3 linked regions of the Lepisosteus oculatus genome follow. The protein of the gene in region 2 binds, or shares a complex with, the protein of the main gene of each other region. Links are inferred from orthologs where the notes say so. Each region holds a gene or a part of one and is shown on either strand. Other genes may lie near its edges. The genes, in order: rab3ip, rab8a and rilpl2.

Evidence for each region.
Region 1: the proteins of rab8a (region 2) and rab3ip are in contact, whole or in part, in a crystal structure (PDB 4LHX), measured with the Homo sapiens proteins. The link is inferred for Lepisosteus oculatus from reciprocal best matches to the Homo sapiens genes RAB8A and RAB3IP. Residues at the interface, in NP_005361.2 of Homo sapiens: Lys10, Phe33, Ser35, Thr36, Phe37, Ile43, Asp44, Phe45, Lys46, Ile47, Trp62, Ile73, Ala76, Tyr77, Arg79, Gly80; in NP_783322.1 of Homo sapiens: Ser199, Arg202, Asp203, Gly206, Leu209, Glu210, Thr213, Ala214, Phe217, Glu218, Ala220, His221, Val224, Asn228.
Region 3: the proteins of rab8a (region 2) and rilpl2 are in contact, whole or in part, in a crystal structure (PDB 6SQ2), measured with the Homo sapiens proteins. The link is inferred for Lepisosteus oculatus from reciprocal best matches to the Homo sapiens genes RAB8A and RILPL2. Residues at the interface, in NP_005361.2 of Homo sapiens: Ile41, Gly42, Ile43, Asp44, Phe45, Lys46, Ile47, Lys58, Trp62, Phe70, Ile73, Tyr77; in NP_659495.1 of Homo sapiens: Leu135, Leu138, Arg139, Leu142, Gln143, Arg145, Asn146, Lys149, Ser150, Leu153, Glu157.

Annotation. Positions count from the first base shown.
Region 1 is NC_090702.1:23,324,752-23,328,501, forward strand, and holds the start of rab3ip (rab-3A-interacting protein), read right to left. Parts: upstream 2,345-3,750; 5' UTR 2,162-2,344; intron 1-2,161. UniProt on the Homo sapiens protein: Guanine nucleotide exchange factor (GEF) which may activate RAB8A and RAB8B. Promotes the exchange of GDP to GTP, converting inactive GDP-bound Rab proteins into their active GTP-bound form.
Region 2 is NC_090724.1:5,175,466-5,179,215, reverse strand, and holds the start of rab8a (ras-related protein Rab-8A), read left to right. Parts: upstream 1-1,090; 5' UTR 1,091-1,132; coding exon 1,133-1,256; intron 1,257-3,750. UniProt on the Homo sapiens protein: The small GTPases Rab are key regulators of intracellular membrane trafficking, from the formation of transport vesicles to their fusion with membranes.
Region 3 is NC_090717.1:7,609,809-7,613,558, forward strand, and holds the start of rilpl2 (RILP-like protein 2), read right to left. Parts: upstream 2,731-3,750; 5' UTR 2,411-2,730; coding exon 2,123-2,410; intron 1,197-2,122; coding exon 1,045-1,196; intron 929-1,044; coding exon 821-928; intron 1-820. UniProt on the Homo sapiens protein: Involved in cell shape and neuronal morphogenesis, positively regulating the establishment and maintenance of dendritic spines. Plays a role in cellular protein transport, including protein transport away from primary cilia.

The sequences.
Region 1 (3,750 bases), on a different chromosome or scaffold from region 2:
TGGAAGACCATAGCTGGGGCTTCTTGATTGTATTCTCGGGGAGGCTTTGAGTGGTGAGCATTTTCTAAAATTAACAGTAAAGTCCTGAACAGGACAAGCACCTTTCCCTGAAATTGCAGAAATGTTGGCAAGCATTCTGTGTCGCCTGGTGCCTTTGCCAAAGCTGAAAACGAAATTCTTGTACAGACCACACTTATTCCATTCAGACACACTCACAAATGGGCAGAAAAAAGAAAATAGGGACAAGAAGGATATCCCTTTATAGTTCAGATATTTGAACGTCGGTATTTTCCCATAAACAACTCTGAAGAGAATGACGAGACTGACGAGACACATATAAACCGGAGAAATTCAGTATTTTGGGCACGGTGTTTTACACAGTACAGTTCTGCGTTGTAATGTGCCTCTCAGGAGTGTCCTATTGTGTCTAAAACAAACAAAGTGCTAGCACAGCCCCTGCCTCTGTTGGTTTAACTGCACAACTAACCACGCTCATATTTCAGGGCTTTGTATCCAGTGTTACACTATAAACGGGCCTCACTGTTTTTATCCTGTCACTAGCTTGTCATTGCTAGTGGGGGAAAAAAAGGAAAAACGCAAAAACCTGATGCTTTCTGAATGCCTGTTTTGTTGGCTATTTCTGCTCCAACTCTTTCCGCAATTAACTGCGGTTTAGACGCTTGTGCAATCTGCCTAATATTTAACGTTGACTAAAATATTAAGAATTAAGCTAAACTCAAATGTATCCATGCAAAATTCCCTCGGCAAAAAAAAAAATCAGATTGACAAATGACATGCCGTTACTGAAAGGAGTTTAATCTGCACAAAGCGTTTTCGTCACCAATTTTGTTCGATTTGACTAGGCTACCTCACTATTTCTGTCAGCATATTATGTCCACTAAAGCACGTCAATCGCAGACATCTCATGCAGGATTAGTAATCGTTTGGTTTCAACACACTAGGGCAACAGGAATGTAAATGTACTCGATATTGCACCTAAAACAGTCAAATTGCCTTCGAATATGAAACAAACTTGATTCCAATAGTGTATTTTGGCTCAACATCCCCAGATTCTTTTAAGCGACAGTAGCTGAAGCACAAAATACGAAATTGCGTCCCCGTGTCTAACCAATTATTTTTTGGACCTCCTGTCTTGTCGCACGTGTCTACCTATACAGTACAGGCGTGACAGAAAAACCACGATTCCTTTCGCATAAAATAAAGCTCTTCGATCTCAGACCAAACTATGAGGAATACAGGACGGAAATAAGACTCGCAACAGAAACGTTCGTTAAATTATGGATTTTATAAAACAGGCAAGATAATCCAGTGCTCTTACTCTATTATGCACATATTAAACGTCAACAGCAAGTTTTATTTTTCAATGTAGGGATCGGAGTTTTTCGACGAGAGACGTTCCCCATTTTTTCCATAATCAGGGATTTTTGTTCTGTCAACTAACACATTACCCGGGGGCGAAACTGTTGCCCTGGTCTTAAAAACTGCAGTACCGAAAATAAAAAAGGCACAAAAAAACGCCTTGCCCCTTTTCGTTGTTACAAAGGAGATCAACAGCACGCACAATCAAATTTCGTGCCTTTGGCTGCTGTTGGGTTTTTTTTTTTGTCTGTTTTTGATTGAAACCAACAATGCATCGTGCGGCCCTTTTTCTAAAATCCCACTAAAGGGAAATAATCCTCTTACAAAGCATTATGTATCAGTTCGTTTCATGTCCAGGTAGGATGTCCACCGAGACCGGCTGGTGTGAAGGCTGAAATCTTCACCCCTAATTACATCATTTTGCAGGGACCCGCTAGAAAACTAAATCCCGAAAAAATGGTCATTCGCGACGTTTAATGGGCGCCCGTGGAATAACTTGAGGCTAAATCAAATAAGCGTTTCCTGAGGTTGATTCGCTTCGGAATCTACACAGATCCTGGCTTTAATCGTCTGATACGAATCTCAAAATGCGACAAAAAAAAAACTACGAGCGCGTAAAAGTCCAGAAACAATCCATGTAATGTGGTTTCTCCCCTTTATTTTAAAAACACACTGCCTGTAAACATTTGATTGCTAGAGTATCGCACAGCACAACACCAGGCGAAGCTCGCTACCTGCACAACTGTGCCAGGATCGGATCATGATTTCAGCAGCTACCTACCTATGGCTTAGGAAAGCTAATGAAGAAAATTCCCTGCAGACAGGAAAATGTCCACTTCAAAGAGACGGTCAATTGAGAGACAGGTAACTTCTCTGAGACAAGGATGGAGAAAGACAGCTCACAGCCAGATCAGCTCTAGGCACACCTGCTCCCTCTTCTGCGTGTGAACACGACTGCAAACCGCGCATGCGCGCCCCGGCGGCCGCCCTATGTTTACACAGGCGTAGCTACCCGGTCACAACCGTAATACAAATGGTACACACGCATCTGTGATTTGATGGTGGAAATTTCAAACTACTGTACGTCAAATAATAATATCTCCGCACATGAACCCCGTATGTGGATTAATGCGATAAGTGGATGCATGGACTGGAGCAAAAAAGAAAAACAAATATCCTTCGCATCTGAATTAACATACAGTTGTGGAAACGGCCGTTTTTCATTCATGAATGAAAACATTCTTGTGAAAGCGCTTACCCTCCTGGTTCTCTTACAAAATAATACAATTACATTGTTGAGGAAATTATATTTCTATTTTTTTTCATAATAACCCTTATGGATGCGTTGCACACACATAATCGTGCTTTCTGCTGCATGTCGATCAGAAACACGATTTAAACTAACCCTAGAAATTCCTTTATTTAACCAGATAAATCAGTTGAGAATAATCCTTTGTTTAAAGTGGCGACCTGGCCATGAGACGCACACCATTACTGTACAGAAAAAGCAAAAGAAAAAAAGCTCTACAATGTAAATTGAGCTAATAGGACGTTGTAACGTTATCAAGAGTAACTTTTGTTTTAGCCAAAAGAAAAAGGCGTGATTTGTTCAAGAATATTCATACACTACTTATAACACATAAATGCAGTGTCTTTTCAGTACAACAGTGCCGCCTGTTACAGTATAACTCCCCTACCACAATCCTGTCACGTCCAGTGCATCCAGAGGGCGCTCTACTTCTGTCTTGTTCCTAGTTCCCTGTGATTATTCATGTTTTTCCCGTGTGTTGTTGTTGTTGTTGTGTAGCCTATTTACTTCCTGTGTCTGCTGTACTCCTTGCTCAGCATTGAGGGTACGGATTTCCTGAGACCCGCCTAGCACCAGGTCGCTACTGTCTGTGGCCTGAGGGCATAGATTTCTTTCCGATATCATCTGACCCCCTGAGTCTGGGCTAACCTCTGTGTTGCCCCTTTCACCGCTACGCCCTCCTTGTCATTCCACGGCTTGCCTTTCCTACATCCGTGACATATTACCATGCATAGGGAGAGATAATCTAGCAAAACATTCTGCATCATTAACCTTGGCCTTTTGTAAATCAAGGACTGCTGCTGTCTTATAACACGAAAATACACCGAACCAGAATACTGACTGACACAGGCCCCAACGTCAACAATTCAGTCTCACAAAACTACCAAACTCCACCATCTGTAGCTGGTCAGAAGTGAATCAGAATATTCTAGTCAGCTCCCTCACCTCAGAGCTCTTCACTACAGCCAGCCAGAGGTGACACAGCCAAGGTGTGACGGGCCAGCCTCCAGACTGAAGGACCCGTCAGCTGAGCCAAACAGAAACCCAAACACTTGCTTTTA
Region 2 (3,750 bases):
CAAACGACAGCATTTTAAAAATCAAGAATTTATATAAACTTTATAATGTACAAGAAGCGTCCTTTTCACGGAACCATGCTTTTGTTACGTGAAAAAAAAACCTGCACCTCAAATCCAATTATAATATTCTTAATGTATTAAGCAATCGTTTAGATGTTTAATTTTATTGACCCATCAAAATACCACAGGCGCTAAGCTGACAAGAAACTACAGGAGGAGATTTGAAATGGGGTTCGTATCAGTGGCTCATATCAGTATGGGCACTGTAATCAGGAGAACGCCTCTCCTCAGTATAGCTGTTCTTGCACTGACAACCGGCATTCAGAATACATTTCTGCTCGCCTATAGGGCTCAAGTGATTTACGTGCTGTACTTTTAATCTCTCTGCGCATCTACACGTTTTTACAGCTCTTTGGACTCTGGTCGCTTTTCAATTCCCAAAACGAGGAAGTCCTGGCAGATAGTCCTAGCTGTGGTATTATTCAGTAGTATTTAACTTATGCAAAGGTGTGAAGAAAAGCAGATCTGATGTCGAGATTGTATCTCGTTCTAAAAACTGCCACTGAAGGAGTTTAAGCAAAAAAAAAAAGCATGTTACAAATTGGTCAGCGCTATCAGGGTTTATGAACATCCAAAGATTCACAGGTTCCCCAAAACACAAAGCAAATGTATAATTGTGTAAAATCAACAATCTTGGGACAGTGGATGTGTTCTTCAGAACTGGCGGCTCGTCGTTTATAATTACCAGTAGCATGCATTAAAACTTTTAAGATTTTTAGTTTCATGATGCATTTTGAAATGGGTCTTCATCATAATAGCTCCCCCAGCCACAGACCGTGGAAACACTTTGATCTATACTAACACAGTACCTAAGCACATCCTCAAAACCTGCACTCCTAACTTTCCTTCAAGGAGCTGGGGGTGGGCGTAGCCGGAGCCCGGCTGCACAATCAGAATTCCCCTTAGGCTTGATTGACGTCAGCCTAACCCCGACTTCCGGAGCCACGACGACGGGGAGGGGCTTCCCTGTGAGTGACGCGCCACCTAGTCAATCAGGAGCCGCGGTTGTCCGGATTGGCGTTTACGCAGCTCCCGCAGAGTGCCGGGCGGGATTTCCGCAATCGCGAGTAATATGGCGAAGACTTACGATTACTTGTTTAAACTACTGCTAATCGGGGATTCGGGAGTTGGGAAGACCTGCGTTTTGTTCAGATTTTCAGAGGATGCCTTTAACTCAACGTTTATCTCCACTATAGGTAGGTCGGCGTTTGCGGTGAGCTCCTCTGGTCGGGTAAATTGGAAAGGGGGGGTTGGCTGTATGTTACTGCGCTGAGACAACCCCAGTGCAATCAGCCCTGTAGCTATACCAGTCCGCAGAATACACCTCATGTCGGGCATGAAATGAAAGAAAAACATCCTAAAAGTTGTACTGCGTGCCCTTGCACGCTGTGCGTTACAACGCGACACTTGATTGTAAGGTAGTGAGCAGCAGGGTCTTGGTTCAGTTATAGTTTTGTAGATATACGTGTTATGATGGAGCACAAAGGTCTTGGTATTTCCTTATGCGGTGGCTCCGTGGTATTTAGGCTGTGAACTATAATATATATTTATGCAGTTTCCTCGGCTAAATTGGGACGCGTTTTTCGCGTAGTGTTTGAACACATGCTCGTTTGTGTAAGACCCCACAGTTTTTTTTTTTTAAAACGAAACGTTAGCGCTCTAAAAACTTGCTGGAGCTAACTTTATAGGAAGTATTGTGAAGTGTCTATCCGGTTTCATTTTTTATCGCCCGGTGGCGGCCCGGCAGACTGCAGGCTGCGGAAACGCAACTTCTTTGGGGGTTAATTCTTATCTCGCCTCCGGGCTTTGTCAAGTACTTTCTGCCTGGACGTCTGTGATACGACATGGACAGTATCTGGGTCCTCGTCTGGCTGCCGTGGAGCTGTTACAAAATAAATGCATGTAGGAGAGTTGAAATAGCATCATCCCCCCGAGCTCACTTCGCTGTTTTTATAGCTTCCTAAAAAGGAGATGGATCTTGTTAGTGTCGAACGGAGGAGACTCCGAAGGAACCTCATACACGTATTCAAACCCCCCCAAGGGCACTGACTGTCAGTTTCTTCAGAATGAACCGTGAAACTCGAAACGCGGGATACGAGTGGGAATCTACGTGGCAGTTCGTTTAAAAACAAGAACAAGAGGCACATCTTTACCACAAGGGTTGTGGGAGTGTGGAGCACACACTGTGGTTGAAGCCAGTAGCCTGGCTGCTTTCAAGGAACAGCTGGATGAGATGCTTGGATGAATTAGCTGCTGACTGTCTAAGGGAACCTTTTTTATGTTCTTAATTGTTGCGTCTCTGGAAAAACAAGATGTTGATGCATCGCTACTTTTTCTACAAGATCAGAAAATGTGGTTATTCAATATTTAACAAGTTTCTTTTCTGGTGTGCTGGAGTACACTGGAGATGGATTAAAAGGGGTGGAGGGGTTCTGTTTTTTCATTTCTACCTCCCTGCTGACTGTATTTTTAAGACCAAGAACAGAGGGGTCACATCTTTACCCCCAGAGATCTGAACAATTAGAAAATGGACTACATGCGCCTCTAGTGAGTTTAGAGCTGTTGTGTATGCTCAGCAATTTAGTTTTTTTTATTTCAAACTATTTACACTTTCCTTCTCCTCAGATGTGTTGTGCTTAGTTGAAGGCCAGTGTAGTCCCCTTGGGCTTGGTACAATGAGGCAGTTTATGCGTATTCTAATTTGAGAAAGGCTTGTCAGTTCCCTCAAAAAGCTGTTGCATCAAAAGTTCTGTCATACTTTTGTTTCTCATTTAGCCAAAGGGACTGATGCTCAGCGACAGCCCTCTGACTGAGAGGATGTTGCCCAGCAACACAACAGAGCAACACAAGGCTCTGCTGCGATATCCTCCTCCTGACCTCGGCACACCCAGCTTTTATCTTCCCGGGTTTATTCAGAGCCTGGTAGGCTCACCTGATTGTGTACAAGACTGAAACAAAGTCCTCTTCCTCTCAGCGCAGGAAGGAACCAGGGCCAAAGTAAAACATCTTTCCGGAGAAAGTTAAGTAGAAGAGGCCTAGATACTGCTGGACAGGAGGAAACTAGAGCAGGCTGTCTTCGGAAAACCTTGACGATGACCGAGTTTGGTTTGGTATTATCTGCTGTCATCCCTGCAAGCCGCTTTCGAGAACTGATGTATATTTGTAGGTGTGAGTGACTGCGATGTGGACTTCCTTCCTATCTCAAGGCCTGAGCAACATCAAACATGAAGTCTAGCCTTCCTTTATGGCCCTGGGGAGATCACCAAGATTGCCTTTTGCATTCAGTGATGCTGTTTATGAATACAAGTCCTAAATCCTATGAGTTTTGTTTTTCGTACAAGCACATTCAGGCAATAGGTGCCATTCCCAGAGGAAACTTGTTCATTAGATTGGTGTTTCTCTTTTGGTCATGCTAATAAACCCCTTGAAGGGTTATTACCATTTTCATCGCTTTAAGTAACGATCACATCGCATCTGCTGGCAGGCGGTTCCAAAACGTGCCTTTCTTAAGATTAGGTATGGCAACAGCGCCGTCTTTGCCCATTGAAAGTACCTTTTGGAAAGGAATGCATGCTTGTTCCAAGCACGTGTTCTTCCATGATGATGTCTTGTATTAAGAATACCTCCCAGAATCCTTTGTTCCCACCCTGGGGCCACACAGATGACACCAGTAGCAGGCTCACCGCCTGG
Region 3 (3,750 bases), on a different chromosome or scaffold from region 2:
CCAGCAGGGCGGGGAGGGAAAGGAAAAGACACGGTCAGCTCCTCGAAAACTCAACCACACCAGTGAGGCAGAGCTCCAGTGGGCGGGACGGGCGACGCCGATCCAGTCAGGGGCGAGAGTCCGTCCCCAGAGTCGGTTGCGTGCAGAAGGAAAGCAGCCAACCAGAGCATCAACCCCATAACGTGACCACACCCACGAACCGGGGAGACAGCAAGCAGGGGCGGGCTGGCTGGGCGCACAAAGGGTAAAGCAAGAGCCGACCCCTCAGCCCGGACTCGTACGGGCTGAGGGAAGAGCTGGGCGACTCGGAAAGGACCTCTTGCTCAGCATTGGGGGTCACTGGTGCACTTCCCATCGAGGTCAAACTCCAAAAGGGCGCAAACACTCGTTAGTTGAAAACAGAAGCGCGGCCAGAACTCAAAGGCAACACGACGAGCCCGGAGACAGAAGCACCAGGTACCTGGAAGCCACAAGCTGCACAGGCACACGCAGAAAACACATCCACCACCAAAGCCCACTCACGAGGAAGTCATGCATCACTATTCAATTATCTGAGGCAGTGAGTGCGCCAAAAATGCATTTCGCTGAATAAAACGGTGGCAGGAGTTTTACTTCAAGAGAAACCCCTATCTCGCAGTCCTGCCGTTACAATGCAGGAGGATGTCCACCTTTTATCGAGGCTCTTTTCAGAACCCGTTCTTCCAAAGCCTGCCACCTTGCGGGGGAAATAGACGAGACTGAAACAGGGTCATTTATATGGATGACCATCTACAAAAACAAAAACCGACGCTCTTCAAAAGAAAAAGAAGGGAACACTTACAGTTTCCGGATGGTGGTTTTCTCTTCTTTAGGCGTGGTGCAGGGCGCTGGGGGTACAGGCTGGAGATCCGCTTCAACTGCGGCTGGCTCGCTCTGAGGCAAAATCCCACTGCAGACATGACCACACCACGTTATTATCCCCATTCGGCGTCATCCCCTGTTTTCTTAGTTCAAATAAACCCTTTCCAAGAAGGACGCGGAGAGACACAGCGCATCTGACTACACCTCTTATAGAGCTGCAGCTGCTCTTGGGCCACCAGGAGCTGGGCTTTGAGCTGGTTCCGTTCCTGCAACACGTCCTTCAGCTCCTGCAAAGTGAACCGGGGCCGGTTCGGATCCTTGAGGTCCACTACCATCTTGTTCGAACCGATCGTCATCTGTAAAATACGAATCATTTCTCCGGATGAGACCCATCCAGAAAAGCCGCGTGTTAATTAGCACAAAATGGTGAAATCTAAAGTATTTCCAGTGGATAAGCATTACGAGGCACCGAATTTATTCTCCTCCCCCGAACAAAACCTTCTGTTGAAAGTAAACTGTAATTAGATTATTTTCTATATCCCATGTCCACATATGACCAGTCACGCTCTGTCAATATTAATATGAGTGTTGTGAAAGAATTGAGCTGTTCTGCTTGAGCAGTCTGGTTATAAGCAACGTTTTACAAATAGTATATATTTATAAAATGTGTTTTTGTTATTGAGAGAAACAGCTAAACGCAGAATTCAATGTCCAGAAATTGAACACGTCCACATGTGTGAAATTCTAAATTCCCGTAGAACATTAAGAGCTGCTCTCACAGTCGAAGGAGTTAGCTGTCATTCTGTTTCCCATTCATTTAATAACGGGTCACAAGTGCGACCCACATAAAACAAATCAGAACAGAATAAATCACTTTTCGACTCGTGCTTCACTAGAAAGCAGTACTTATTATTTTTAAAAAACGTAAATGTCAGAATTCATTATAGTTTTTTTTACTATATACCTTTATATGAAAGGTATACGTCAGAATATGTACTTCTCGAGGTATTATCTCGTGTAATTGTAAAAACTGGTACATAGAAAATTAAAAAAAAACACTCAAAAGTCAACTACTGTCCGCAACATTTCTCGGATTCATCTCACGGGACGTTTTGAAAAAAAGTTCAAATAAAAGGGGAAAGTTCTTCATTCTGGGTCAACAAGGAATAGCATCAGGTTTCTTAGTGCTCTTCAGTTGCGCATTGGATCGACCAGTTGTCGAGCTAGTGTAATACAAGGAAGAAGAAATGTCTCCTGTGCACACTGCAGACGAAGAGCTCACCGTCCCCTGTTCCGACCCCTCACTCAGACGCCGGTCCAGCTCGCTCTTCAGATTGTCCCGCTCCATTTTCAGCTCCTCCAGCGTCAGGTTGTGCCTGTTCACCAGGGCTTCAAACATCTCCAGGACCCGGACAATTTTGAACTGCAGCTCGGACACCTCTTCGCCGGCGCTGTTGATTTTGAGCAGGTCTCTCCCGATCACATAGGAGATGTCGTACACGTCCTCCACCGTCAGATCAAACGCGTCTTTCTCGAAAGCCAGAGCAGGGGTCGTGTCCAGCCCCTCCATAGCTACTGCTGCAGGAGCTGCCGCCCGCGGTGGTGTGTTTTTATGTTCAACAAAGTGTCTCTGTAAAAGCTGAAACGTCTCCTTCACGCTTTGAAGTCAGCTCAGATCCGTCTGATGGTTAGTTTTCGCTGTTGTTTGCTCGCAGTGCGAGAGGGTCCCTGGTCATCGCACAACCTCTTTGAACTTCCTTCTTTTGGAAACTTTGGGCAACTTGCCACAGTCCCTCCTTGACTGACGCGGCCTTGGGCCAATTGTACTCGCAGAAAGTGAAACCCCTTTCGGCGATGTCTGTATATATCTCAGGAGGCAACGCTTCTCCTAGTGACAGGTGAAGCCAAGCGAGCAAGTCAGGTGAAACGCAGCATGTGATACTTTATAAGCGTATGACGGAGTTTCCAGATCATTTTTGTTCCGCTACTGTGTGTGAATTTGGTTACAGCGATACTTTTTATCACGTAATAAAGATTGTGAACAAAATAAAAATACCCCATTGCTGTGAAGACAATCTATATTTAACCTTTTTTTTTAATCGAGATGAATTAACCGATTTACTGTGATGCAAGCTGTAAACTCCAAAAAATAAATTCTTGATTTTATACGAATGCGAATGCAATGTTACCTTTTTCATTTCAAAACAAACAATACACTGTACAAAAATATCTTTAAAGGATACACAATGTAAACAGGTATGCAGTAAACCATTCATCGTAATCCATTCACTGGAAGAGTACATTAAAGTGCACAAAGGCATTGCAATAATAGGATAAATCATGGGCTCAGTAATTAAGTGGCTACACCCTTAAAACAGTTTCTATTCATTATTTGTGTTTAATTATTACAGCCAGGTTCTTATATTACAGAGAAAATCTCTGAAAACTGTGTAAGAGTCTTTGGTTAAGGTTTGTGTTAATATAGATGTGTTGAAAAAAACAGTCCTTTATTCTCAGTAAACGGAAAGGATTCTGATCGGGAACGGTTTCAACACGGAGTGTTTTTGAAGATGCACAAAGGTACAATTTAGTGAGATGATGCGTGCTGTCTAAAACCCTGCGGAGCTTTTTAGAACTGTTTGGAAAAGGACGTAATTGTAAGTCTTAAAAAATCTTGATTTCCCATACTGTCGTTTTAATTGAGCTTTCTTGATATTTTGAATTTAAGGTTAAGCTGTAAATAAATATGCAATATTGATGTTCAGCAACACTGGCGTTACAGTCGATTATGAGCGAGTTGCAAAACGCTGAATGTTTTTCAAAGTCGGCTTTCAAGAAAGTCGTTCAATGAATTGTAGTGTTCTGTGCTGTAGTCCATTTTTATTATTTCCGCTCGTTGCTGCTGAGGTC